2 linked regions of the Danio rerio genome follow. The protein of the gene in region 1 purifies or fractionates together with the protein of each later gene. This does not show direct contact. Links are inferred from orthologs where the notes say so. Each region holds a gene or a part of one and is shown on either strand. Other genes may lie near its edges.

Region 1 (3,836 bases):
ATAAACAGAGAAGTAGAACGTTTCGGGAACTACTTCATATCATTAATATCATTAACTGTTTTAAACTAATTATTTGTATTATTTTTATAATTTATTTTTAATGATTATAAAGATATGTGTAACAATTCAAGATTTTTAAATCAAACTTTAATCCATCACTTGCTTTTGTTCATATCTCAGACAGTTTTACCTATTAAAGTTTATTTAAATATTAATGACGAGAACAAATATACAAATATATCTTTTATTATGGCAAGAATAAAAGCAAAATAGGTACACTTACTAAAAAATACAGACTTTTTTAGATTTAGCCCACTCCACAATTGACACATTACTGTCTGGCTAGTTTTTGTCCTCTACTTATGCAAAAAGGCAATAATGGTCCAACATTTCTGACCATTATCTCCAATAAAGCCTAGAAAAACAGGGCTTCAGCGTATTGTAAATGGATAGGTTCAAATATTCCTTTCCAGTTATAAAATAAACAATTTGTTCCTTAATTATATTTTTGTAATTAATAAATTGTTTTAAATGTAAAATTGTAATATATAGCTGCATCAATGTAAAAAAAATGGTGGAAAAACATATTTCTGTAATTGTTTATTAAAACCACCTGGGTCTCTACTTTTGCCATGGCCTCGCTTGACTTAAACTTATCCCTCAGGTTTTTCCGAACTTTTACAAAAGCCATCTTCCTTTTCAACGACTGTTGCAATTTCTAGCCAAGAATTATTGATCATCTGGTTATCCCTATGATTCTGCATGGACCACATCATAAAGATGTCTGTACAGTCGTACGGTTTCAGATAAAATATTCAACTCAAATCAAACACAGCACCGCACGAACTGCTTGCTCAAGTCTCAAAAAAATTTGTGAGCTCCGCCAGTGGAAATCATGTCGCGCATCCTCAAATCGAACCTCTGCAAACACAGCGATGACATCACATTTGCAGCACGCACTCAAGCAAACTAGCAGACACTTGGAGTATAAACCAGGCTTAAATGTTCTTAATGTGTAATTATAATGTAGTCACTTAGAAATCATTGGGTCATATAACCTAACTGCATTGATTAGAGTTATGTTCAGGGTTATGTTTAGTGATAGTAACTAGTTATTTCCCATTTTATGTAATGATATGGTAAGTACATAGTGCTTACCCGCAAAACTGTAAAACAGTGCAACCCAAAAACCCGAAAGTATCACAAATGTTCGAATATTTATGTCTGACTGAAAATGATAGTTATAAATACGAACTCATTCCACTCCAATATTACTGTCAACCATGATAGAATTTTACTTGTACTCACCCAGGATGACTGGAATTTCACTCTTCACTCGTTCTCTTTCTATCCTCTCGAGCATCACTACAATTTCAGAGAAGGCAGGACGACTGTCTGCATTCATCTATCACAGAAACATAATAACAAATATGAAAATGCAAATATAAAATAACTTCAGTACTTAACTCTGGGAATGTGAAATGTTAGTTTAATTGTCTATGGATATATAGCTTACATTGCAGCAGTCGACAGCCATTTGAAGAAATGAAGGTGGACAGTCTCCCACCATATGCTCAAATGTGTCCACATCCAGTCCAAAATCCTACAATAAGAAAAGTCATATTTCTTACAGTATGCACTACACTGGACAGACATCTTCAGACTTGCACCATTGCAGAAACAGCACAAACGATGTTGGATAATTATATAATATTATTAATATACAATTGGTTTGTACATTTTTTGCTTAAAAGAAACAATAACAGTGTATTTTTGTGGAAATATGCAACATGCTGCTTCTCCACCAGAGGGAGACAACACATTAAAACTGCAGAAGATTATTTTATTTAGATGTAGATTCATCACTGCATTACTTGGTTAATATAAGCACAAGTATAATGTAAATAATACCATAATACCCTGGAGCACAAATATCGACTTAAATTGCACAAGTATATTTTTGTCAATCATTCAAAATACATTGAATACATATAAAATCAAAATACATCTAGGTCAAAATTATTAATTTTTCTTTTTGTCAAATGTGATTAGTACAGTCATGTTTCATGAAGAACCATACAATGAACAATCCATACACCAATGGAAACCTTTTTATTAAGAATTATTATTATTATTAATCATTAAGAATTCAGGTTATATATATATATATATATATATATATATATATATATATATATATATATATATATATATATATATACACACACACACACACACACACACACACACACACACACACACACACACACACATACATATACACACTCACTGGTCACTTTATTAGGTACACCTGTCCAACTGTAAAGTTCTAATCAGCCAATTACATGGCAGGACCTCAATGCATTTAGGCATGTAGACATGTTCAAGATGATCTGCTGGAGGTTAAACCGAGCATCAGAATGGGGAATAAAGGTGATTTAAGTAACTTTGAATGTGGTATGGTTGTTGGTGCCAGATGAGCTGATCTAAGTATTTAAGAAACTGCTGATCTACTGGAATTTTCACGCACAACCATCTTTAGGGTTTAAAGAGAATGATGCGAAAAAGAGAAAATATCTAACAAGACATAATGGCCAGACTGGTTCAAGCTGATAGAAAGGCAACAGTAACTCAAATAACCACTCATTTCAACTGAGATATTCAGGAGACCATCTCCGAATGTACAACACGTCCAACCTTGAGGTGGATGGGCTACAACAGCAGAAGACCACACCGAGTGCCACTCCTGTCTGCTAAGAACAGGAAACTGAGGCTACAATTCACACAGGCTCAACAAAATTGGACAATAGAAGTTTGGACAAACATTGCCTGGTCCAATGAGTCACAATTTCTGCTCAGACATTTGGATGGTAGGGTTAGAATTTGGCGTCAACAAAAAAATATGGATCCCTCCTTAATTGTATCAATGGTTCAGGTTGGTGGTGTTGGTGTAATGGTGTGGGGATATTTTCTTGGCACACTTTGGGTCCATTAGTACCAATTGAGCATTATGTCAATGCCACAGCTTACCTGAGTATTGTTGCTGACATTCGCATCATGGATGTGCAGCCAATATGCAGCAACTGCTTGATGCTGTCATGTCAATATGGAGCAAAATCTCTGAGGAATATTTCCAGCCCCTTGTTAAATCCATGCCACAAAGGATTAGGGCAGTTCTGAAGGCAAAAGGAGGTCCAACCCTCTACTAGTAAAGTGTACTTAATAAAGTGGCTGGTGGGTGTATATTGTAAGTATACTTATGACTAGTTTTGTTTCATTTAATGCAATTTTAGACTATAAACAACAGACTTTCTGCATCAAGTAAACACATTAGTTATGCAGCTGTATAACCTATGGTACTGTACACTGACATAAACCTCTCAAAATTTAATTACACATCACAATGTCACATACTGCAAAATCTGTACTCAGGAGCTTCACATGTTATCCTATGCATTTACAGCCTGCAAGCCATGTGTTTGATTCCCCTGGTCTAAGACTTGCCCTTGATTAAATTTAGCTTTAAAATAATATTTCAAAGAAAATCTTATTTGCCTGACTCAAAGCTTGTATATTTGGTAAAGCACTGCTTGATTCTAAGCCTGATTCTGTGCTTCATGTTCTGCTGTACAGTTGTATGTACCTCTGTCCGTGGGAGGATATCTGGGTCAGCCTCAATTCGAGCAATAATCTCACAAAGGATTATTCCATATGCAAAGACATCCACCTATGATATGAAAACAGCGTAAATAAAGTGACACAAGCACACAAGCAAGAGTGTAATGCTGAGTTTTTAAAGGCAGAATACCTTCTCATTGTACAGCTCTCCTCTTAAC
Region 2 (3,622 bases), on another chromosome or scaffold:
TTGCCTTTCTATCAGCTGGAACCAGTCTGGCCATTCTCCTCTGACCTTTGGCCTCATCAACAAGGCATTTGCGCCCACAGAACTGCCGCTCACTGGATATTTCCTCTTTGTCGGAGCATTCTCTTTAAACCCTAGAGATGGTTGTGCGTGAAACTCCCAGTAGATCAGCAGTTTCTGAAATACTCAGAGCAGCCCGTCTGGCAGCAACAACCATGCCACGTTCAAAGTCTCCTAAATCCCCTTTCTTCCCCATTCTGATGCTCGCTCTGAACTGCAGCATATCTTCTTGTCCTGCTGCCATGTGATTGGCTGATTAGATTCTTAACGAGCAGTTGGACAGGTGTACCTAATAAAACGGCCGGTGAGTGTATATTCAAAGGTTAAAAAAGTGCAACATCTGTGTATTTAAAGTGCACTAAATATGTAAATGCACTGCTTATACTACAAAATGGGTAATAAGTATGCGATTTGGGATCCACTTCTGGAAATTCAGCTTTATAGTCATCAGGGAAAATGAGGGAATCTGACATCTAGTTTAGAGCGGGAGGCCTGTGGACATGAAATGAAGCGGTTTGAGGATTTATTTATTGAATATTAAAGCACACTGGTCACGTCAGCACAGTAACAAGGCAGTCGTTGAATATGACGCCCTGAGTGTCCATTCCTCCAAAGACAAAGCACAGATGCTGAACGTCTGCATGTTCGCTGTCCTCCATCTTTACTCTCCACGGCAGTAAACACATGGAGTGATCCAGCCGACCCGGAGGAAGATCCCCCTCAAACTTCAGCAGAGTCCAGCGCTGTTTATCTGAGGAAGAAACAACAAGCAGAACATGAGGGAAAATTGATGATAGGCTGTTGATTAGTAAATAATAATACCTTTTAAGACCTTTTTTTAAGACTCCATACATTTAAAAGGGCACCTATTATGCAAAATTCACTTAATGAGGGGTTTAAACACAGTTGTGTGTGAATATCTCCAGCAGCATCTAATGCTCAACAGTAATTAATTGAGTTTGTTCTAATCAGACTTGATGAGTGAAACACTGTGATTGACATTCTCCCTTTGTACGTGTCATCAGAGGGGGAAAGCCCCGCCCACTAGTGCCCATCTCTCCATCTCATTAGCATCTCCAGCAGCCCTGAGTGAGAAGCAGCCGTCTGTCCATTAGCCATTAGAGTGTTTGAGCTGCTGAAGATAATGTCAGCATAGACTAAGAGGATTATAGATGTGGAGTTTTAGATAGAGGAGCCACATAGACTGACAGAAGCATCAAGCACACACTCACACTGAAGCACACATAACACACACACTGCTGTTTACATCTGTCACTATGCTCATGCATATGCATCTGTAGCTCCACTCTCTTCTGAAAAGAGCAGAATCTCATTTGCATTTAAAGCGACAGTCACCAAAACACCACGATTAGTATCGAAGCCTGAAAGGGTCAGTTTCAGAGAGCTGGAGAACATCATCTGTGTAATATTTTGAGCTCAAACTTCTCTACACACACTTTAGAGACATTATTTGGCATCTTATTTTACAAAAGGGGCATAATAAATCCCCTTTAAAGAAAAGCTGGTCATATTGTGATGCTATCGTACCGCATTGAAACTTAAACATGGAGTTTGTGGCTCCGTCTGCCGTCATTCCTCCAAAGATGAAGATGTTTTTGTTGAATGTTACAGATGAATGAGCTGCGACTCCGGGTGGGAGATCACCTTTAGCCTTCACCTTCTGCCATTTCAGAGACTCTGGAGAAGAAAAGACAATGATAACATGCAATGAGGTATCATTTATACAACCTTACTTCCAATCCTTCTATCAGTTTTACTCTGCAATTTCTTTTTCAATGCGTTTATCTATTTATTTTAAAGTACACATGAAATCAAAGCTAGCCACAGTGATGTTGTTAGCTCTCATCGCTAGTTTAGTGCTGAACAATTCATCTGTGCATGTCATTAAGAACAGTAGTTTGCTCTTGTAATCTTTAATTGAAATCTGCAAATGCACTTCCTGTATGTTTTCAGTTCAATTCTCAGATTAGGTCTGTCCAAGGAATTGGGCGTGGCTATCATACTTAACCACGCCCCTCCAGTTGTCAGTTTTGATATCAAACAGTAATGATGAGCAGGAGGAGTCTGTTAGGTTGTAATAACTCTCCCCACGCCCTTTTACCCATCTTTCTGAATGAAACGCCTACCTTAATACATCCAATCAGCTCACAGTAGAAAAAACAAGCCACGCCCACTGTTTTCTCATTTAATATTCTATTTCTCTAGAAACACTGTCTTTTAATATGCCATTAAATGATTCTTGATCTAAATATAATTTATTATTTTAATCTAAACATAACATATTGGATAAACTGTTGTTATGCTCATTATTATTATTGTGGTCTCTTGTAACAGAATGAAATGTCTGTCACTTGTAATGAAAGGAAAATACTTTTCTAAGGGATACTACAGGGCACTAGATGGCGCGGGTGAGATACATAGAGGGTATAAAGTTTGAGAAGAAGAAGAGGAGAGAAGTTAGTGTTTTTATGGAGCACATGAGCTGCGTCCCAAATCGCATACTTATGCACTATTTTACGCCATTTTGTAGTATAAATAGTGTAAGTAGTGTGTTCACATTGAAAACTCTCAAAATAATAAGTGCACTTTAATTACCCGGATGATGCACTCATTCAGCCGCTAAAATGAAGTGTGTAATGATGGACACTTCACGCACTAAACGACCGCAGGTTTGCTTACGTAGCGGAAGGGGCGGAGCGATCGGACGCACGTGTTGAATAACTTTATTTATTTTGGATAGTGAAAGCAAAATTCTCCTACGAGAGTGATTATAGCGCCTCCGGATGGTAAATGCGGCAATACTCACGGCAGGTATTACTTGATAATTCAGTCGTTTATTTCACTGATTTGCAACAGTCAAACGTCATCAGGGAAACGGTTTGAATTTCCGCTTAGTAAAAAACATTAGTGTGCCATTTGGGACAGCACTACATACATATACTATCCTGTTGAGTGTGTAAGTGCATAAGTACATAGTGCATGAGTGCATAGTGTATAGTGTGCCATTTGGGACGCAGCTATGGTTCTTTGAGGCTACTTCAAACCAAGCGGCAACCTCCCGCTCTCCCTCAGGAAGCCAATACGGAAGCAGTGGCATTGCGAGGGGGGGGCTTTGGGGGCTTAAGCCCCTGATGTATTGTCAAAAGCCCCTGATCTTTTGCAATGTGTTGCACTTAAATAAAAATATAAGTATATATAATAAATAATATATAAGTATATATAATGGTGTAAAACAATTAATTTGTTATCTAAGTACTGAAAATTACGGCGTACATCACGCACATTCCACCTCACGCAGTGTTTGTGTCCGGTCAGCTGTTCAGCAGTACCTGTATCTACCGGCAGGTGGGAGTGGCACTGTTGTCACATGATGTTTAAAAAAAAACGCCACAGCACTTCATTTATTCATTATTTTGAAGAGCTGAAGTTGATGAGGTAATAATACAACTCTTTCGCGAAACTGAATAGTTCTAACTACTAGTGAAGTGAAGCTTAACATTTGTTTCCACAGTATAAACTGTGTGTAGTTTTGGTAAAATAAAAT

The links.
Region 2: the proteins of tesk1a (region 1) and rabepk purify together in Homo sapiens (affinity purification with mass spectrometry; 3 studies listed by BioGRID and IntAct, with this or other methods). This does not show direct contact. The link is inferred for Danio rerio from reciprocal best matches to the Homo sapiens genes TESK1 and RABEPK.

Annotation. Positions count from the first base shown.
Region 1 is NC_133176.1:43,314,107-43,317,942, forward strand, and holds part of tesk1a (dual specificity testis-specific protein kinase 2), read right to left. Parts: coding exon 3,809-3,836; intron 3,728-3,808; coding exon 3,644-3,727; intron 1,604-3,643; coding exon 1,517-1,603; intron 1,406-1,516; coding exon 1,309-1,405; intron 1-1,308. UniProt on the Homo sapiens protein: Dual specificity protein kinase activity catalyzing autophosphorylation and phosphorylation of exogenous substrates on both serine/threonine and tyrosine residues.
Region 2 is NC_133180.1:2,011,725-2,015,346, forward strand, and holds the end of rabepk (rab9 effector protein with kelch motifs), read right to left. Parts: intron 1,756-3,622; coding exon 1,606-1,755; intron 809-1,605; coding exon 609-808; 3' UTR 564-608; downstream 1-563. UniProt on the Homo sapiens protein: Rab9 effector required for endosome to trans-Golgi network (TGN) transport.